5 linked regions of the Nothobranchius furzeri genome follow. Each later gene encodes a partner of the first gene's protein in a complex. Links are inferred from orthologs where the notes say so. Each region holds a gene or a part of one and is shown on either strand. Other genes may lie near its edges. The genes, in order: mettl3, zc3h13, E3 ubiquitin-protein ligase Hakai, rbm15b and wtap.

Region 1 (4,397 bases):
CAGCTACTTCGGGGACAATTTTCAAGTTTAAAAGTAAGTCAACTATTTAAAATGTTTATTTAGATCCAAAGAAGTTATCTATGGTTGGTTAGTTGCTTAGTAGTTGCAGCTTTGGTGGCTAGCGGGTAGTAACTCGCTTATATATTTAATTTAATAAACATATACACAATTTAGCTCATTATATATTTATATTGAAACTAATACATATAAAATATAACTTTATCTCCCGTGTCACGTGACGTTACGTGACCGCCGTGGAAGCCGCGGTCACGTGATGCAAGTCTGTTCCATTTAACCGTTTTCTTTGACCAAAGGACCTCGTAAGTAAGGCGCCTTGACATTGAGAAACACCCTAGCTGACACGATTTTATTCGCTTGACCATGGAACAATAAAAGCTTCGTAACTATGTTCATCCACCCGAGTGCCTCAGTCCGCATTTTCCTGAGGCGATGCCAGGATCTTCTAACTGAAGAGCACCGGAGGTATTTATAATCTTTCACCTAAGAAGCACTCCAAGCATTTTTGCTGTTTTTGACAGAAATACAATCCTGTAGCAAGAACAAAATTAAACAAACACTAAAATATGTGGGAAAAAAGAGAGAAAAAGCTGCATTGAAATATTCCAGGAATCAGCTTGTTTCTCTGAATCCTATTTTTGCTTCTTTTTCAGCGGGTCTACTCCGAGCCCCTCCCGGATGACTGAGCTTCTCACCCTATCTCTAAGGAAGAGGCCAGCCACTCTTTGGAGAAAACTCATTTCGGCCGCTTGTATCCGCGATCTCTCTTTCTGTCACTACCCAAAGCTCGTGACCATAGGTGAGGGTAGGAATGTAGATCGACCGGTAAATCGAGAGCTTCGCCTTCTGACTCAGCTCTCTCTTCACCACGACAGACCGGTACAACGCCCGCATCACTGCAGATGCAGCACCAATCCGCCTATCGATCTCACGCTCCATCTTTCCCTCACTCGTGAACAAGACCCCGAGATACTTAAACTCCTCCACTTGGGGCAGGACCTCATATGGAGAAGGCATTCTACCCTTTTCCGACTCAAGACCCTGGTCTCAGATTTAGAGGAGCTGATTCTCTCAGAATGTCATCTAACAGTTCATAATAGGGCTCGGCGATATGGCCTAAAATCAACATCACGATATATTGAGGATTTCATCTCGATAACGATAAATGGACGATAACTACGGGTGTGCTCAGAAACAACAGTTGTCCACTAGAGGGGGCTGTCACGTGTTACGTTGAGTCACATTTTTATGCGACTGGAGGTGGTTCAGCTTCTTAAAGGGACACAAACGCTGCCAACCTACACACATCTTTTCATTTTTTATTATCAAATTTATTGACGTGGAAAAAATTATTACAATAAGAAATTTGGATAAAGATACATTTTTTATTTATTGCCCAGCCCTAGTTCAAATGTGATTATAGTACTCTACTGGTTACATCCTTTTATTGGAGCTATTTTGTGTGAAGTGTTGATTTAATGGTGGGATGTTCAAAAATGGGATGGGATGTGTACCGGAAGTGCAGCTTAGTGCACGGCTGAGGCGTGTCTCCAGAGCGCAAACACTCTTCTTTAGTCCCGTGATCACAGAACTCCTGGACTTGAGCTCGACCACGAGAGCGGAACTTTTCCACGATGGACTGCTCCTTGGCTGTGCTGGTGTTGAGCAGCTCCAGAATCTCCTGACTCATCTGGAAATGAAATATAAACAACATTCACACAACGCTCCCTCCGCCAGAGTTCTGCACGCTTAGACGTGTTAATCCGTAAACCTTCTTGCTCTGCTGCTCCTTGGTGGACTGCTGGTTCAGGAGGCTTTCAATCTCCATGTCCAAATGAGACGACTGGCTCTTGCTGCTCCTGCCCTTCTTCTCGGCTCCACACCCCGAAAACGAAGCCCCCGCCACCAGGGACGAAGAGGCTGGAGTCAGGGAGGAAGTGGGCAAATGTGGAGGAGAAGCAGAGCTTTGAAGTGAAGGTGAAAAGCTTTTCTGCTCCTCCGCTTTTCTCTTGACTCCAGTCCTTTGAGCTCCTCCTACAGACCCGATCATAGCCCAGAGTTTTGTGTGGTCCACGGCTATGACGACTGTGCAGGAGGAAGCTGATGAAGAGGACGGCTGTCGGACCTCAATGAGCTCCTGAGCAGAGAATTTAAGCAGCAGACTCTGGATGCATCCATGACTAACGGCACCTTCAGACTGGGATAAGAAATCAACATGATGTAAAATGCAAAACAACTGCTTTAACAGTCCTATTGTTGACGGGGGACAAACTTACACTGCCGAGTTGATTTGTGATGGTGAGGGAGTCTGTCGGGAGGGAAAGACTCAGATCGGACAGATATCCCAGCAGCCTCTTCTCTAGTTCTGGGTCTGGTGGTTTTTCCGTCTCCTCCTGGGAGCTGAACGGAGCCGAGGGAGCTGGACTGTCACTCCTGGCTGTGGAAGTGTCAGCACTGCCTGCAACGTCTGAGAAGATCGGTTAGAACATTAGTTCGGATAAAATAGCTTCAGAGCTCAGTACGTCACAACTCTTGTTGCTCACCCGATTGGTATTTTAAATGTATTACTTCTTTGAAGCAAACATACGCATCAAATCTGCACTTCATATATGGTAAACGCCATTGATATAATACGTTAAATCATTTATTGGTACCAACACAAGCAGTGGAAGTGTCGTGTCGTCAAAAACGATTACCACTCATTCTGTTTCAATGCATTTCCAACTACAACTGTTGCTTAAACCAATACATTTTAAGAAAACTGCAAGAGAAAAGAATTATTGTTAATTTAATAATTGTTTGTTCTTTTCAGCACGGAAACACAAAACAATTTCCGTTTACTCCCCCACTGCTCAGCAGGGAAAAAGCTAACGCACATATTAATTTCATGCTAATTTTTGTTCTTCTAGACAAATTTTCAGTTTATAACGAAAACACTGTCAACACGTATAAAACCCAATTCCAACGGGATGTAACACATTTTGACATAGCACCGACGGTCTTTGCCGAGTGTCCGGCCTGTACACACCCGCTGCGGACAGCTGCGCCGGGTCCTTGCGTCGCCGCTGCAGCCTCTCCCGCAGAGAGTCCAGCTGCTTCTTGTGGGCCTGGATATTGCTCCATGTGTCCGACATGGCGAGCTGGGTAAAACAGCAGCGCACTCACAGAAACAGTCACAGTTCACCGCAGAACGACGAGATGAAAAATATCCGCGCTCTCAGGAACAAACTATATATGGTACGCGGCGAGAACATTCCGGACGAGCGTCTTGAGTGAAATTAAACGTTCCGGAAAAAATATAAGTGGTGCTTTATCGGTTGTCTTTACAGTTTACTAAAATTATTAGGATAATAAATTGATAACTCTATACTAAGCTGGAGTTAACAAACGTAACGAAAGCATTTCATTAATTTGATACAGCATTAACTGAAATAATATGTCGGATGAATTTAAAGGACGGACCACCGCAGTTTCCGGCGTGACCGAAATTAAAAATTTTCCCATTCTTTGTGCCAAAACCAGATCGCATTCGCGACTGTATTGAGTATGTCAGTTTCTCATCGCATCAAGATTCAACCTTTAGCGGTTATTTGGCGTCTTCCGTGAAGACTTTGTTGCGTTCCGGTTGTTGCTAATCTTTATTTTTGTGTGCTCCTGTTGAAGCGAAGATGGCGGAGAAAGAGGACAGTGGAGATCCTGGAAAAGACAAAAACGACCTGCAACTGATAGAGGCAAGCTTCAGTAACAGCATAGCCTGGTTAATTACATGTCTCAGTTTTATGTTTTGTTTTTCTTCAGGAAGTAGTTCATCTTGACAGACTGGTAGTGCATTTAATATGCTGTTTGATGTGACTGGTGTACTTTTTTATCATCTAAATCTCACGCATTTTTGTTTATGTAGTCAGTTTAAGCATCGAGCTAATTGTTTTACTCAAATTGGCAGTTTTTTCCTATCCGGTTTAGTCAATTATCGGACAGTCAAAAACACTTAAAATGGAAAGTAAACGCTCAAAAAAGAGCCAGGAGAACTACTGACCAGGAAATATTTACAGATTACATGATACTCTGGCAAATTTTAAGATAAATAGTTCAAAACTGAGACGATTCAATACTTCTGCACGTTGCTTTTTGTAGTTTTCATCCACGTTTTGCTCTGATCTGCTCAGGGATGTTATCAGTTCATTTCTTGCATCGCTGCTATTAAACTGAGGTAACAAACACAAGTTTTAACTAACAAAAAGGATCATTTATTAAAATTCCAACGTAAATTGCTACTACGGCAAAATATAAGACAATTTAAAACAAAGTATCACAGCTTTGCATAAAATGATATTATTTTTAACGTTTTATTGTAACAAAAGTGATATTATTGTAATTTT
Region 2 (4,567 bases), on another chromosome or scaffold:
AATTACAATGTAAAATTCCATCATGTAGGCTAGTGTAACGTCCACAATTGGTCAGTTTTTCATGTAACCTCACAACGTGTAAACCTCTTCAGTATCTGGTCATATGGAGACAGGAGTCTACATTTGTTGCCTTTAATCTTCCGGATCCTGACATTCCATCAGCTGGAGTCCGGGCCTCTCTGCAGCTCTGAACACATGATAACAGATTATCAACATCATGTTCCCTTCTCAAGGTCCTGCTTATCTCGGCTGTCCTGCTCAAAATAAAGGACTGAACCATTATAACAGAAATAATCATATGGTTGAATGAACAAATGTTATATGAATACCAAATGAAATGTTTTGATTAATCTGTGCTTGAATTATTGAAGTTTGAAATGAATGTTATTATTACATTGAAAGATTTATATATATGATGATCAGTAATGTCTGATATGACAATTGAATCATTATCTACACTTAGACACAAGGTTCATTAGAGATAAATTAAATTAAAGTTAAACGTCATGACACAGATATTTTCTTAACCACAAGTTAGAGCATCCTGTATCTGAAAGAGGCGTGACGTTCTGAGGTTTGCTTGTGAACATCCCTTAACATGACACGTACCGGTTGGCCAAGAAATCATAATATGAGAATATTAAAACAGAGCTCACTAGACGGTGAGTCAGTTCTAGAGAAAGCTACGGACAGGCCTACCGGAGCAAACCTTCTTTAACCCAGAGCATTTTTGACAAGCTGTCAAAAACCCTGCTACATGCTGAAGTTGACACAGAACAAAGCTATACAGTTCCGACTCCCTAAGAGTCCTTCTAGACGCAAACAATTTCATCTACCTGTTGTGATCCGGGAGACGACTCTGGACTGACTTGGTCGTAATGCGGTCTTTTCTACGAACTTCGGTACCTTGGGGTCACCCGACCCCCAACCCCCCAACATCTCGGATCCGAAAGGGAGTCTTCTCAGGGGTATGTAGAACACAACATGATTGCATCTGATGCCGTTTTGATAAGAACCAATTTCATAGCTTAATGCAAACCAAATTCCTTTGCACACCCAGAACTCAGTTCTTCTCAATACAAGGTTCTGATAAACACACGCCATTAAATCACCAGACATCACTCATCCATCACTGTAGCCTTGTCATGTTTTTATTTGTTTAGAAAATAAATTTCTTATCTTTTATAAACCTGACTCTGTCTGAATTGAGATGAAGTTTGTTGATCCCTGGAAAAAGCAAAGAATCTTAGAATCTTCTGAATAAACACTCAAAGACCAAGCAGGTTGATATTCTATGTTTATATAGAATATCACAATTTATTGGTCATAAGTAAAGGTAATGTATTAAGCTTAAAAGCAACAGTATTTACCCCTCTACACTAGAAAAGTCAACAGTAATCACACGAGATCTGGTTTCAATAGTAAACCGGTTGTTGCAAAGGTAGGCTGCACAAAACGAGCACATTTGCCCACTCTGCATTGGCTTTGGACAGTGAGGAGACCCATCCAATATGGCGACGACGCTGTTACGCTCTCCAGCACCGAATGGGGCGTCAACGTCTTTACTGCTGGCGGTGATCGTACCACAGAAGAAGAACGCGACGTAATGCGTCTGAGGCGCACTGTATGTACGCCAACATGAAGTCACTCCGGGCAGTTTCTGCCTTAGATTTCAAAGAATAGGACTTGTTGTTTCGACAAAGTCTTGCTTTGCTAACTAATACAAAGTAGATGAAACACCGAAACCAAATATTGGGTGAGGAGCTGTATTCCGTTTGATCTTACATTAGCTTAAACCGCGCTCGTGGTGGCTTAAAGGCCTGAAGCTACTGTTAGCATTAGCTTCGATATACGTGGATTTTCCTGTTTGAGGTGTGCAAATGAATGGCCCGGCCACGCATTTAAAGCTCTAACACAACACTGTGCAGAAATATTATCGCGTAGTTTGCTGGGAGCAGTGGCTAATCTGAAGCTAATGTGCAGCCGTAGAAGTCTAAACTCAGATAATTCTAGCACAATTTTTAGAAACGTTTGCACAATGTAGGGGAATAAAAAAAACTTTGATATTTTTCTTTATTTTTATGGAAAGAAAAACATTGAAACAGTTTATTTTTGCTGACAAATGTTAATTTTCTGAAATTTTCAACATTATCAAAATTTCTTCCACTGACACATTAAATCCCTTTTCACTTTGTGTTGCTATTTTATTATATTTCATGTTTTTGTTGTTGCACAGTATTGTTCATCTCACGGTGCGTAATTAAAACGCTGTGATTCACAGTTCAAATAAAAAATATTATTTTTTTGTAAAACTGTTGATTTTTTATGTAGTTTTAGATTCTTTGGACCCTTCTGATTAACAGTATTACCATGTTTCCAGTCCTGCAGAATGTCCAAGATCAGGCGGAAAGTAACAGTTGAGAATTCAAAAACGATATCTGACAGCAGCAGCACCACAACCAGCAGCACCAGCAACACCAGCGCCCCGTCTCGCCGGCCCAGTGTCTTTGAACGCCTTGGTCCTAGCACTGGGAGTAATGCTGCAGATGTATGTGTCGCAGAACCGTTCCAGGACTGGAGGTTTTCTTTTTGAGTGGATTTGTCTTCATGTCTTTTATCTTAATTTGTGTTTTAGAGTCACTGTAGAAATTGGCTGAAGACCGGTAGCTGCAGTTACGGCAACACTTGTCGTTACACACATGGAACTCAGCCTCGAGGCAAAGGATTCAGCTTTAATCGGTGAGGAGACCTGGACTTGCTGCTGTGCATGTTGTTCCAATTTAGTTTTTTGATTCCTCAAAACAATGAAACCAATCGCAACGCAGGTCAGCTGAGAGACCCACTGGTGATCTGCGGGAGAGGATGAAAAATAAACGACAGGATGTTGACCCGGAAAACTTGAAGCGAGACGTAGACAAGCCCACAACCTCCAAAGTCAGAGTGAGTTATTTTTGTTTTCTATAGTGTTTTAATCCTTATTGTCTGAAAGGAGAAGAGTAAAAACAAGGCTGAGTCCTTTTGTAGCAGAGAGACTCTTCAAGAGGGCGACACAGAGAGAAGGAAGGCATAAAGATCACGAAGGAGAGGACCCCAGCCAGTGAAGAAGAGCCTGTCGAGTGGGAAACTAATCGAGAAGGTTGGATAGTTTAATCGACAAATAATACGATTCATGCTAGTTGTCATTATTTTGTTAAAAAGATCAGCGCGCCATGATAATAAGTACTACAAACCTTACTTTGTTGACTCAGATTCTGATATTGGGGAATTTGATTACGAGTTATCCCTGGAGATGAAGCGCCAGAAGATCCAACGGGAACTCATGAAACTGGAGCAGGAAAATTTGGACAAACGAGATGATGTCGTTAAGAAAGAGGAGGCTCCTATAAAATCCAGGAGTGCAGCGCTGCCAAAGGTGAGGATTAATATTCACGAGATCTGAAATCCCCAGATTCCCTCAGCGTTGAGCTTTTGTCCTGCCGTCCCTGTTGGTCAGGTGTCGCCTGAGCTGTTGGGTTCCAAAGATTCGCCGTCGTCCAGGAAGTCCGGCGGCTCCCCGAAATACAAAAGTATAAGTAAAGGCTCCGGTTCTGGGAAGAAAGAGAAGAAGGCAGCCATGGCCTTGGCGGTGTCAGAAACCCTCCGGTAAGAAGGCGTAAAAAAAGCGTCTTGAGTCGCGGGACGGAGCCCAGAAAAAAAATCACTCCCTTTTTCTTTTAGGTCTTCAAAAGGAAGCCACAGTAAGAAGAAGGGGCCTCGTACGCCGAGTCCTCCTCCCCCGGTCCCTCTCGGCATTCCTGTCGTTGGGAAAAAACACAAAGGGAAACATAAAAACAAGGAGAAGACCGAGGAGAAGCAGAAGGAAGGGAAAGAGCGGGGACGGGACACGGAGAAGCATAAAGAAAAGAAGGAAAAACGCCGGTATGACGGGAACGTCGTCTCCTGCAGCTGTTTTTATCCCACCGTTTCACAAACTCACTTGTTGCTGTTCTCCTTTGTTGTTTATGTAGGCAGATAATCAGGTGAGTGGCTACGAAAGGTTCTGTTTCAACCCGCAGATGCTGGACTAACTTTGCTGCATGGCATTTATCTCACTCGGCTTTTTATTCGCGTCAGAACCCAAAGGTTTGCTTCGGACGGGTTTAAATCCACGTTTTAACGAAATCAGCCGCTGAGCTTTTCTAGAGCAGCTCAGAGGATGCTTCCTGATCGTACCTGGTTTATTTTTTAATGCTTGTGCCTCTGATTAGTAGTATCCACCTCTCATTCAGCCGTTAATCTGAAGCGGTTTGGTGTTAAAGTGATCGATCCGACAGTTCCCATAAGGCCAAGCGGGCGGTGACATCGGAGGAGCGCTCTGGAAGTGCGTCGTCTCCCTCCAGGTGTGCGTCACCTCCAGCGAGGAAGAAGTCCGTCTCTCCCAAAGTTTCATCTCACAAGGCCTCGTTGCTCCCCTCCCCCCCTCAAAGGTCTGAACTTCCTGGTTTTCCGACACGGATAACGCCAAACGGCTTTGTGAATAATGATGTTCTGTTTCTGCAGGTCTCCTTCCCCTCCACACCACCACCGC
Region 3 (4,599 bases), on another chromosome or scaffold:
CTACACATGTAGAGGGAACCTCGCTGGCTCTGCTCAATGCGCTGAACTGGATCAGTGCAGTTATACAGGGTGAGACTAAACACAAGATGCAAAAGGTGAGTGACTCAAAAGTGTAATAACATTACATTACTCTCAGAACCTGCCCAAAAATTCCTACCAGAGAAACAGATCCAACTTGATAAACCTCAGTCAGGTCAAATGACTCATTTGATTCATTACATGAACGAAATTTCTATTTTAGATTTAATATTTTAACATATCATTAAACTTTTTGCCACAAAAAAACAAAAACAAGACAGTATTCTCCAGGGTTTATCTTTCTAGCAGGATTTCTTAACATCTGAGAAGTCATTCTAATGAAAAACAAACATGTCTCACCCTGGACACATCTTTTCTCCTTTCTTCTCATGCAGCAAAGCGCAGTCGTAACAGAAAACATGTTTGCATGGGATCTGAGGAGAGGGAGAGTCTCAGTCCAGAAAATGATTCAAAACCAACCAAAGGGAGCAAGCAAGAACAAAGTACATACCATCCGTCCATACAGCTGAATAGGGAGGCCACATTTGTCACAGAAATGAATTGGTACTTCATCCCGTTCACCAATTAAATGTAACTGTAGGGAAAGCAAATGGGTGGAATTATGGGTATCTGTCACTCAGACATACTCAAATCCAGTCACAAAGCTTTTATAGTCAAAGCAAAACAACAGTGTACACTAACCCAAGGTCAATGGACAGCTTTATTATATATATATATATATATATATATATATATATATATATATATATATATATATATATATAAAACAGAAAGTCACTATAATAAGATGATGTCAGCAAACCCACACTGACGTACCTTATAGTCCCAAAATAGGGGTTGTGGAAATCTCCGCTGGCTTGCAAACACATCGCCAGCTTTGGTGCCACAATCAAACCTTTCCTCTTGCTTAAAGTTGAATTTATCTACAAAATATGAGAAAATAAGTATTATTGTAAAACTGAAAAGAGAAAGTCAATAAAACCCTGATTAATAAAAGCAGATTTTGTTGTTTAGAACTCAATTAGTCAACTGATAGAGCTGGGGCAAAATGTTTCAGATTGAAATTTTCAAATTGCAGTATTGTGGGATTGTGTAAGTGTGCAGTACTCGATGTTTAAGGAATGTGCTATGTGTATTATGTACAATGCATAATCAAAGGTCATCTGTTAAGAGTAGTATGTAATGTGGAGATTAGTATGGTTCTGTGTAGTTTTTCCTTTTTTCAGTTATACTAACCGAAGTGCAACTTTTTTGACCTAATGACAAATTTCCCAATTGAGACAATAAAGTATATTCTAATGAATAATGGTTAATTCTATAAGTTAATATACAGCAAAATCTGTCTCACCCTCAGAAGAAGGGTTTTGGTCAGGTTCAACAAAACAATGTTTATGATTACTAACTGAGGTGTATAAATCAGTTTATTTTAAAAGCATCTGTCTAAATAGTTATTTTTAAGGCTCTGCATTGGAGCAAATGACTGATTAGTGGATTCTGCTGGGAGCACAGTCCAGCCAGAATTGTGCAGTTCCTGCAGCACAGAATCAACATGAACCATAAAAAGATTCAACCTCCAAATTAAAATTCTACAGAAAATGTTGTGACTATAACCCCGATCAGTTTACTTTTTAAAAGTTTAAAGAGCAAGTCACCCCCTACCAGAGTATTACTCCACTCCCACTTCTGATTTGAAAAATGCAACAAATGTTGTTGCCTAGCAGACTGAGAGGGCGGAGCTGCTAACAAATACACACACACACACACACACACACACACACACACACACACACACACACACACACACACACACGCTCACAACGACATTGTGACATCATATGGTACCAGCTAACGTTGTAGGATACCTCTTAGCCAATAGCGATGGCAGATTTAAATTCAAATGCAGTGCAGAGTTTTTACCTGACAACGGCACAACACTGACAGTTTTAGTCAGAAAATTAAAATTTTAACTAAAATGCACTAAAGTGCCAAACTATTGACTACACATGTCTGCAGCACAATTTATATAGTTTATCACACAAAAAGGTTGATTTGGGGGTGACTTGCTTTTTAATGTGCTCGGTAGCGTACCATCTTCCCCAGGTTCACTTTTGCAGGGCCTGGTGCCAGGCCTCTGCATCCGCTGCTGGGGCTTATTCCTCAAGGGCTGCTTGGAAATGAGCTTGATGGGGATTCGTCTGCGAACATCCAGTCCACCCAAACTTCCCGAACCATCGCTCCCTTGAAGATCACCGTCTGTACACACCGAATGCACAACCCAAAAAATAAAAACAAAAAACTGATAGCATCACACCATTAAGCACAATTATATTACATCTGCGTTCCAAAAGTTATGTAAATCTTTATTTGAAATGTACCCGACTGATGAGTTAAATAAGCAAACGTTTCTGTTCTTGTTCAAACTACTTTTTGGCGTGTTAATGTTTGGCATTTCTGCCTGCTGATGTGTCGGAACACTTTCCCTCATGTAATCAAAGTATAAATCTAACGGTTTGAAGAATAATGCTTATTATCTGTGACGTAAGTTTATCAAGAAAGTGTTTTTTATGGTAAAGAAAGGAGAAAATTCTCAAAACGAAGGCACATAAAAGGCGACAGATTGAAACGTTGACATATTTAAGAAATATTCCGAAAGAACACCAGGCTATTTTTATCCAACCGAAATTCAGTTTACCCTGATCTTTACTTGTGAGAATACTAAACACAAAGAAGGTCTCGGACATCAATAAATAATCTGAGGACGAGCAACAAAAACGAAGTTACAAACCGTTAGCCAAAGAATTAGCTAAGCGCTAAAACAGGGTAAGGTAGGCTGTACAACGCTATCGCTGGATTTACACCTAAAATCAAACTAATCACATTCGGCACAGGAACCGAACACACCTCCAGTTAACGTTACAACTAACTATTCCAACTGACTTAGAACTTAAGGGTTAAATGGTGAACTGACGTCCTTTAGCACAAATCCACAGCTAACCTAAACCGTAACGGAGCATTTCAGAGGCACCAAGCTCCAACAGCAAAGCCGGATTCCTGGAAGGTTGTTCGTAATAATTTAAAGAACTACTAGAGCAGCAACTCTGGCGGCAAAACGAAAAAATAAGCCACAAAAACAAACTTTGACAACAGAGGGCCTACTTAGCGTTTAGCTCACCACTTTGGTCCATGATCCAACCGGATCCAACGAGTGAGCGCAATGCATTGTGGGTGGCCGGGGGGGGGGGGGGGGTCCCTTGAATTCTGTAAAGATGATATTTATAAACATACAATATTAAGTAATTCGTTCATTAAAATAAAACCACTTTTCTGATCTTTGTAGTATAAACTGAGCAGTTAACTTCGCATGCATAAATAAAAAAAAACTAACACTCTGTAAAAGTGTCAAAATTGTTGCACTTCTAAATGAAGTAAATGCATTTTAAACTTTTCAGAACAGCATTTAAGCTAGTAGTCTAATATTTTGGTATTGGCATTTTTAATTTAATCAGATTATATGCATCTTCATTCATATCACCTTTAATTTCAAGTTAAACTGGTGTTTTTAAAATCTCTTATTTCTGACATATATCGCATAACGTCTCGATAATTTTGACTTCATGTGTTTGTTGCGTTACTGCATAATGAGTTTGTCTCATAATTTAGATCTTGTTTTAATTTGAGCGTCGTTTTGTCGCATACATTTGCACAATTCCCACAAGCGCTGTTAATGTACCATTTTTAAAAGTAAGAGACAATTAAACGAGTCAGAAATTACATAATTTACAATTAAGATGCTTGAACCCCATGTGAGTGAGCTCTGATGTTTTGCGAAGCAGTGAAGCTGATGCTCGTCCCCGTGTGCCGCGCGCTCTCATCGTACAATGTCGCCATTTTGATTCGAAATTTATGACTGAGTTTTTCTTGCTTTGCATGTTAAACTTAGCCCCGCGTTTGAATTACTTAATGCGTGAGTACAAACCATGCCCTGTCTATCAGAAAGGACACGTATCGCTTTTTATTTTTAGAGGAAATTAACGTATGGACCTTGCGTATTTAACAGTTTTGCAGCCACATCTGACTAACGTTAGCGAAGTTGAGCTAGCTTACGTTAGCCCGTGCTTCTTCAAAACAAATCACTCACAGGCTAACGGATGTTAGCTAAGCTACCACGGCAAGCTACGTTAGCTACATCGACCTAATAGCTGGCTCTTGACTATAAAACCCACAAATATCCAACAGAAAAGGAAGCAACAGCGGCGGACTTTCCATCAAAGGTTAGTTTTTGTCTTAAAATAATCAGTCTTTTTAAGCAACTTGCACATTTTAACTCTACTGTTCCAACGACGAAGTTATACCTAAGTTAGTGACCTGTTCAAGTTTGCTTTTGGCTCTACACTAGTCAACTGTCGTCAGCTAATTAGCTCTAATGCTAATAAGAAGAAGGGAGGAACTAGTTTACATTTGCTAAATTATTACTGAGTTTACAGTTGAACATCTGTGGTCGAGTTCTCCCAAGAAGTGAATGTTAGCCAAATGGGTTTGTTTGCACAATTGTTTAGGTCT
Region 4 (4,695 bases), on another chromosome or scaffold:
TTAGCTCCAAAGCGTCAGACTTGCCCTGTTCAGCAACAAGAATCCAGTTTCCACCGATGAAACCATTTATTTAAACAAAAACAAACCCACAGCAGATCATTTAGTAAACTTTGTCCTTTAAAGGCTTTTGTTTTGAAACGATTCCTGCCTTTTCAGAATAAAATGTAATTCCTTAAGTTTGATCAAATAGGAGTTTCCATTATTTCAGCTTGGATCTCCGGTAGAAATAACTGCTGGGCGATTTGAAAGGTTTTTATTTATTAAACTCTTATTTCCTAAAACCGTTTAGAACCAAATCAAATGGTGGCGGCTTTTTAGGTGAACTACTTACAGATGTTTTCAGACTTATGTCATGTACTCTGAACCCATCTGAGTCCTGTAGCAGCTTCGCCAACAGGCGATAAAATACAGAGTCGTGTTTCTGAGGGACTCCTCATCCGTCTGATGGATCAAACACCATCATGAATGTGGGACTTGTGTTTCTGTTAAAACTGTAAATTCTACTTTTGCATTAAAATGTGAAAACTCAACTGAGATGTTTGTTTGGGTTGGTTTGACTCCGGGCCGATACCGATCTAGGATGAAACCCTGATCCTCATGGGGATTGGCTAATGTGGATTAACTGTTAGTGGTTTTATTTGTTAGGACACTGCATTCACCGACAGATTAGAAAGTTTAGGATTGGTTTGGAACAGTAGATGGATTTCGGGTACACCTCTGTGAGAACCGAGCTTTGCCCAGAACCCTGGTGCTTGTATGGATCGTCCCGAGAGGCTGGAGGTCCGGCTCAGACCTGATCCCTGGTCCTTCCTGTCATTCTGCCCAGAAGAGGAGAAATCTAGAATTCCATCCAATCTTAATCCAAGATTAACTTTGGATTTCCTCAGAACATCTTTTTAGACCAAATCTAGATGTTAGTAACAGATTTATTCTTCATCTAACCAGGAAGGTCCCATTGAGATGAAAAACCTCATTTCCAAGGCAGTCCTGGCCCAGAGGCAGCAGAAGTTGTTTCAGCTCCACAGACATGTTATGCACTAGATTACAGAAGGCAGTTACAACACAGAATCCTCTCAAGGGTTCTCAGTCTGGTTTTAAATGTAGTCAAGGAGAAAAAAAACTAATTCCCAGTTTTCCTGCAGCCTGTTCCATGCAGAAGGAGCAGAGTGAACAAAAGACCTTTAGCCCAGATTGGTGCGAGCAAACAGAACACAAAGTAACAGCTGATCGTCTTCTTCCAGACTGAGGACTTACACTTCTTGAGATTAAGTTACAGATGTAGGTGGGTAGTAATCCAAGCATTGCTTTATAAATGAAGGTGTACCAATGTTCCAACCTCCTGGTGGATAAAGAAGACTGTCCCACTGGACACTGGAGTGGTCCTCAGTAATAAACCTCAGAGGCATGATGACCACATCAATCTCACAAATCCATTGTTAATCTGAATTAATCCATCTACGTCTAATTCATTTTGTGGCAAAAATATTTTCCTTCTCTGAGAAATTCCTTTAAACCAAAAGAACGCCGCCTAACGTCCTGTGGGTGATACCACCACTCTGTCTCATCCCTTGAGTTAGGAACATTTTTCTACTGTTAAGAGGTCAGAGTTAAAAAAAACGTCTCTGGAAATGTTTTGGTCCCAGGAATATTCCATCTAAACCAATTTAACAAGAGATTTGCGCTGGATTGGGACTTCTGGATTCTAGATCAGGACTAAATGATGTGGGCATATTCTCCATCATTTCAATAATAAACTTATTTATGTAAACAAATAAAGATTTAAACGTGAAGCGACGGTAACGCGCGACGTGCTTGCGTCATCGAGTTCTCCGTCCTCGGGGAACGCGCACATTCCTATTGTCCAAGATGGCGGCGCTGCTGAAGCTCCACTGATGCAGTTTTTGTTTTTAAACCTTTTCTGGTTTTTATCCGTAAATGAGCCGAACGTCAGCGGATGCCGTGGAACCGCGTTTCCCCCTGAGCCCGTCCTCCGTAGCCTCGCTCCCGCTAACGCTCCCGGAATCCCGCTGCGGACACCGAAAAGTTTCCGATCCGTCCTCCAGAGAAAATGAAGCGGCAGGCCGGCAGGGAGAGCAGTCCGTCCAGGGCCATCGCTAAACGGACACGGGAGCGGGAGAGCAGCCGCAGAGAGGAGCTGCCCCCGCCGCCGCTGGCGCTTTTACTGGCGGAGAGCAGGAGCTACCGCCGCCGGAGCCGGGAACGCGAGAAGCCGCGGCTCAGGGAGGAGAGGGCGGCCGCCCTGGAGCTCCACCACCGACATGAGCTCAGCCTCCTCGGCCGTCCACCGCTCCGCACCTCGGCAGCAGAGCTCCCCGCCCCCCGGCCGGGCACGCTGGAGTATAAAACGCTGCTCATCAGTAACCTGGGCTCGCAGGTGTCGGACGAGGACGTGGAGGACTCGCTGTTTCACGAATTTAAAAAGTTCGGGGATGTGAGCGTGAAGCTGTCGCACACACCGGAGCTTGGCCGGATCGCCTACGTTAACTTCAGACACCCGGAGGATGCCAAGGAGGCCAGGCACGCCAAATCCTCCAGGTTGGTTCTGGGAGAGCGCCAGCTGAAGATAGAGCCCATGTACGTACGGAGGCGGAGTGTCACCCCACCGGACGTGGGTTATTTACCCCTCCACGCCCCCTATCCGTACAGGCAGCGCTCCCTGTCCCCCCCTGTCCCCGGGGTCAGCAACCTCCGGGAACTGAGAGCCAGACACTACGCCCTGGAGACCCTGGGTCTGAGCAGAGACCGGGACCGGCTGCTGGACTACTATGGGATGCTGGATGAGAGGGGGCGGCCCTACGGCCTGCCCCCCATGCCAGTGGTGGAGGACTTGAAGCCGGAGGATGACCAGCGGGCGACCAGTAACCTGTTCATCGGTAACCTGGATGGGAACGTGACGGAAGCTGAGCTCCGGAGGGGGTTTGATAAATATGGCATCATTGAGGAAGTGGTGATCAAACGCCCGGCACGTGGACAGGGCGGGGCTTATGCGTTTGTGAAGTTTCAGAACCTGGACATGGCCCACCGTGCCAAAGTGGCCATGCAGGGCCGGCTGATGGGTGGGAACCCCATAAAGATCGGTTACGGCAAAGCCAACCCCACCACCCGCCTCTGGGTGGGGGGGCTGGGGCCCGGGAACCCACTGGCTGCCCTGGCTCGAGAGTTTGATCGCTTTGGCAGCATACGGAACATTGACTACGTGAAGGGGGACAGCTTTGCCTACATCCAGTACGAGAGTCTGGATGCAGCTCAGGCCGCCTGCACCCAGATGAGGGGCTTCCCTCTGGGGGGCCCAGAGCACCGGCTCAGGGTGGACTTTGCTAAGGTGGAGGAGAGCCCGTCGCGCCCATTTCCTCCTGGTTACCAGACGCCCGTTACACTCCCTTCCCACTATGACCTTCTTGGAGAGGCATACAGCCGCCATCGCAGCCTTGAACAGGAGCTACGGGGGGCCAGGGAGCGTTCTCCCCCTGCTCACAGCCTGCTCTCCCTGAGGGAGAGGGCCCTGCTGGAGAGAGACTTTCCCAGCAGCCCCACCCGCAGCTTGGAGAGGAGGTCCGGAGGGGTGGAGGCGTTTGGGAGGAGTGGGAGAGCAGCAAGGAGTCGTAGCAAGAGCAGGGAACGTTGGCTGAAGGAGAGGGAGGAGAGGAGGAACAGGAGGAGGAGCAGTAGTCTGTCAGCAGAAAGGCAGACGGAGGAGAAGGAGGTGGGGAGGTCAAGGGTTCGTGGTGTTGGTGGAGCCGTCTCTCCTGAAGCGAGTCCGGACCGAGCTCGGGTCCGAGCTCCCGACTCCACCACAGAACCCCGAGACCATTCCCCTGACAACGGAGGAGCTGGAAGGCAGTCCACCAACGAAGAAGAGCCTCCCTCCAGCCACCATCACAGCAAGAGGGCCTCCAGCGAACAGCTGAACAACCACCACCATCGGAACAGTGAGGCCAATGCCTCGGCTTCTCCTGCAGCCCACACAGACGCCTCCTCACCCCCCGGCACGCTGTTGGAGTTTGCCCAGAGCATGCTCTCCAGGATGTGGAGAGGCTTGTTCACCCTGAAGAACAGCAGCTTTCCTACAGACCTGTTCCTGCTGGAGGGGGGCGTGTCCTTCTTCAACACTGTGATGAAGGACAGCCTGAAGCAGCCGAGCAAGAATCAGCTGAGCCAGTTAAAGATCGCTCAGCGGCTGCGCATGGACCAGGCCCGGCTCGACGAGGTTTCGCGCCGCATCAAGGTGGGCCGCCCCAATGGCTTTGCCATCCTGCTGGCTCTGCAGGGCCCTGTGGACCGCCAGACCCCGGGTCTGGAGCCAGGATTGCAGGTGCGCCTGCTGCGCCACCTGGTGACGTACCTGCGGAACAAAGAGGCGGCCGGTGTGGTGAGCCTGCCCAGTGCCAAGGAGGGTGGGCCGGGCGCCATGCTCTATGCCTTCCCCCCAGGAGAGTTCTCTCAGCAGTTTCTGCAGACAGCCAAGAGGACTGTGGGTAATCTGGAGGAGGAGCACATGGTGATCGTGATCGTTAACGACACTAACTGATGTACAGAACCAACACTTCCTGGTTTGAAACCTTTTAGGATTCTGGATTCCAGCCACACTACACACGTCACTCCGCTTCTCCCTGTGAGCCGGTGGGGTTGGCGGGAGAAGGAGGAGGATTTTAAAAACACTCACAGGAGCGACAG
Region 5 (2,874 bases), about 53 Mb from region 1:
TAATAAAAATACAAGAAAGATTAGCACCCTTTTAAATTCCTCCTCGAAACACAGCTAGCTGTAAATAATAGAAAAGCATCACAGAGCTCGATCTTTTCCCAGTGAAACACTAAAAGTCAAACTTTCAGAGCAGCAAACAGAAAAAGGTGTCCTCATATTAAACACAAATGTTTCAACAGCACAATCACACAGCTCCAGATGCGGTTTGTTCCATTTACAACAGGTAAAGAAGCTGGGAAGCACTTTGCTACACCTGCGATTTGACATCAGTTAGGACTGCAGCTATGCTTTTGGAATCAGTCATAAAGAAGCCAAAAAGGCAAAGAAATTACATAAATGACTTCAAAACAATTCCTGATGGCCACATCTGAAGAATAAATGTATATATACTCATTTAAGTATCATCGGCCCCGAGGGAACTAAAGACATTAAACCCAGCAGTAACTGCATCCTGTACAAGGCATGGTGAGGCATGTTTAAAAAGGCTAAAACTAGAAATGTTTATGATTTAAGAGCATTTGCTGCATTCTCCTGCTATTAAATATGCTGGGAGTTATTTTAAAGCCAACGTAAAATAAAAAAATAAAAACGTGAGCCCCAAACTGTTAAAATAATTAACTAGTGGGTATAGCAGAGAAGTCGCTTTCTGTGGGAGAAATGATTTGGTCAATCACAAAAATACACAAATACAAAAAAATACACCCTCGTCGTCTCAAACACAGCTTCTTCAGGACATTTTCACTCAGTTTGATAACAGGACTCGACACACGTACGGCAGTGTGTTTGAGGGGGTTTAGCAAAGCCCAATCCAAACCGTGTACACAGAACATGCGGGTAAATAATACAAGTCAATCAGGCTCCACACACTGCAGTAAGTGTTTCTATCAAATGAAATGAAACAGTTCACAAAACAAAACACGTAGATGGACTCTACCGTGAGTCGGTCCGACTGGACCCCATGCCTCAACCACCTTTGTGATCCGAAGATCTGGCTCCGCTCAGTCTTAAATGTTTAGTGTCTCCTTCCCCACAAGTTAGCTTTAGTCTTAATTTTCCTCATGTGAATGAAATGTAGCCAAAGGGTCTTTACACTTCTCAGGGAGACTAGCAGGTGTTTGTGTGAAATGATCCACTGTTACATGTCTTTGAAATGTTCAATTGTTGTTTTAGGCTAGGGATGCCCCCTGCCTGACACATCCTCCCCCATAATCCCCTTATTTTATAAATGAACTGTCTGCTTTGAGCTGAGCGGGGGGGCAGAGAGGGCATATCCGTGGCAGGAAGTGAGAGACCACCTCTTCAGAACAGTCCGGACTCCTTCAGGCCCTTGGACGGTGAGGATATGAGGCTGAAACACACGAGTGTCACCTGACCATACGGTCTTTTTTATTGTGTTTTTTAGGTTAAGTGGTGTGCAGCTGGCTCGGTAACAAAAGAACAAAAGCTGTTTTGTTTTTGCAGTGACCGGCTGTCTGTAAAGTCTGAGTCTCGTGACGAGAACAGCGTTTTGTCAGCCTCCCCCCCCCACCATTGTTCCTGCATGCCTGCAGTGAGAGTGAGGATGGGGGAGGCGTGAGGAAGTCTTGACTTTTTCTGAGGGGGGAGTTATTTTTGATTGTCTTTACCTATCAGGTGTAAATTTCCAGGCACTCAGTTCATTTTGGGCCTGCTCCAGTTTGTCTTTAGTCTGTTCCAGTTCAGCCTTCATTTTGAGGAAAAACAAGTTGATGGCTGGATCCACCATGGACGACCGCAGTTGGGCCACGCTCGGCTGCTGGACTTGCTTCAGGTACTGGATCTGGGTCTGCAGGATGGAACGGAATACACATTAGACATCTGTTTAAATCTTTAAAACGATGCTTCAACAATAAACTGCTTTATTCTGAGGTTATGGGTTTATTATAGAAGAGCCTTGATAATATTTAATCAGCCTTTAAAATGATACAAAACAAACTGTTATCCGCTGATCTATAAATAAATAAACGAAAAAATAATTGTGGGTGTTTAAAGTACTCTAAAACAAAACTTACCTGCTAATGCTTAAAGCTTTTACCCCAAAGCAACCATAGCACATTTACATGACATTAGGGCTGGGCGATACGGCCTAAAATCAATATCACGATGTATTGAAGATTTCACCTCGATAACGATAGGTAACAAAAGTTATCCACTAGATGGGGCTGCCACGTGTATAACCTTGACTCAAGGTGGTACGCAGGGTTTTTCCTGACTCAAATTGAGGCAGAGGTGGTACCATCCTGACCATGCGCCAGCACACACTGCCTCACTTTTTTCAAGGTAAAATATTATAAAAGGCTCAATAAAATATATCAGATTGGTGTTTAGTTCCCTTTTTCCCAGCTGATATTTATAGTTAAAATATTTGTAAATGCTTGACCTACATTTCAGGTTTGTATTAATAACACTGATCTTAGTCTAAATGACACATAAACATATCCAGTAACATATAATGCATTTCACTAACATGCATTTGTATTGGAAATGGTAATTACATTTAATTTCTGCTGCTAACAATGTAATGGTGGCATGTCTATTATGTACGGGTTGGAAATAATCCAGTTTATGTTATGTTCAAAGATAGATGCATTTGTGAATTATATACTACAACGGCTTGCCGTAATTCCAGCGACAGCAGTAATGTGACTCGTATCTGCAGCGGTTTCGATCCGTAGCGCTGCAGGATGCAGACTAAACGGGATGGTGGGGGCTTTTCATCCGCTTGCAGAGTTTAGTCTTTCTTAGTTATACCATCATCATATATTTTTCTGTGTTTGATCGTGAGACTGCTACCCATTAGCTTTAGGCAATCTGCGTGTAGCTGCACTTTTGATCCCAAACTTTGCACCGGTTCTG

The links.
Region 2: mettl3 (region 1) and zc3h13 share a complex: the UniProt entries of both Homo sapiens proteins name them as parts of the WMM complex. The link is inferred for Nothobranchius furzeri from reciprocal best matches to the Homo sapiens genes METTL3 and ZC3H13.
Region 3: mettl3 (region 1) and E3 ubiquitin-protein ligase Hakai share a complex: the UniProt entries of both Homo sapiens proteins name them as parts of the WMM complex. The link is inferred for Nothobranchius furzeri from reciprocal best matches to the Homo sapiens genes METTL3 and CBLL1.
Region 4: mettl3 (region 1) and rbm15b share a complex: the UniProt entries of both Homo sapiens proteins name them as parts of the WMM complex. The link is inferred for Nothobranchius furzeri from reciprocal best matches to the Homo sapiens genes METTL3 and RBM15B.
Region 5: mettl3 (region 1) and wtap share a complex: the UniProt entries of both Homo sapiens proteins name them as parts of the WMM complex. The link is inferred for Nothobranchius furzeri from reciprocal best matches to the Homo sapiens genes METTL3 and WTAP.

What each region holds. Positions count from the first base shown.
Region 1 is NC_091742.1:58,858,666-58,863,062, forward strand, and holds the start of mettl3 (N(6)-adenosine-methyltransferase subunit METTL3), read right to left. Parts: upstream 3,153-4,397; coding exon 3,047-3,152; intron 2,486-3,046; coding exon 2,295-2,485; intron 2,216-2,294; coding exon 1,790-2,215; intron 1,709-1,789; coding exon 1,533-1,708; intron 1-1,532. Other genes in the region: ttc5 (tetratricopeptide repeat protein 5), read left to right, coding at 3,151-3,255, 3,687-3,749. UniProt on the Homo sapiens protein: The METTL3-METTL14 heterodimer forms a N6-methyltransferase complex that methylates adenosine residues at the N(6) position of some RNAs and regulates various processes such as the circadian clock, differentiation of embryonic and hematopoietic stem cells, cortical neurogenesis, response to DNA damage, differentiation of T-cells and primary miRNA processing.
Region 2 is NC_091754.1:49,209,818-49,214,384, reverse strand, and holds the start of zc3h13 (zinc finger CCCH domain-containing protein 13), read left to right. Parts: upstream 1-1,616; 5' UTR 1,617-1,756; intron 1,757-2,380; 5' UTR 2,381-2,389; coding exon 2,390-2,548; intron 2,549-2,635; coding exon 2,636-2,739; intron 2,740-2,825; coding exon 2,826-2,940; intron 2,941-3,024; coding exon 3,025-3,136; intron 3,137-3,248; coding exon 3,249-3,412; intron 3,413-3,493; coding exon 3,494-3,642; intron 3,643-3,717; coding exon 3,718-3,918; intron 3,919-4,298; coding exon 4,299-4,466; intron 4,467-4,539; coding exon 4,540-4,567. UniProt on the Homo sapiens protein: Associated component of the WMM complex, a complex that mediates N6-methyladenosine (m6A) methylation of RNAs, a modification that plays a role in the efficiency of mRNA splicing and RNA processing.
Region 3 is NC_091741.1:57,566,955-57,571,553, forward strand, and holds the start of E3 ubiquitin-protein ligase Hakai, read right to left. Parts: upstream 3,173-4,599; 5' UTR 3,054-3,172; coding exon 3,035-3,053; intron 2,996-3,034; exon of another isoform or gene 2,825-2,995; intron 2,293-2,824; coding exon 2,104-2,292; intron 963-2,103; coding exon 856-962; intron 614-855; coding exon 530-613; intron 453-529; coding exon 379-452; intron 76-378; coding exon 1-75. UniProt on the Homo sapiens protein: E3 ubiquitin-protein ligase that mediates ubiquitination of several tyrosine-phosphorylated Src substrates, including CDH1, CTTN and DOK1. Targets CDH1 for endocytosis and degradation.
Region 4 is NC_091743.1:78,035,120-78,039,814, reverse strand, and holds the start of rbm15b (putative RNA-binding protein 15B), read left to right. Parts: upstream 1-1,832; 5' UTR 1,833-2,068; coding exon 2,069-4,549; 3' UTR 4,550-4,695. UniProt on the Homo sapiens protein: RNA-binding protein that acts as a key regulator of N6-methyladenosine (m6A) methylation of RNAs, thereby regulating different processes, such as alternative splicing of mRNAs and X chromosome inactivation mediated by Xist RNA.
Region 5 is NC_091742.1:5,869,320-5,872,193, reverse strand, and holds part of wtap (pre-mRNA-splicing regulator WTAP), read right to left. Parts: intron 1,805-2,874; coding exon 1,626-1,804; intron 1-1,625. UniProt on the Homo sapiens protein: Associated component of the WMM complex, a complex that mediates N6-methyladenosine (m6A) methylation of RNAs, a modification that plays a role in the efficiency of mRNA splicing and RNA processing.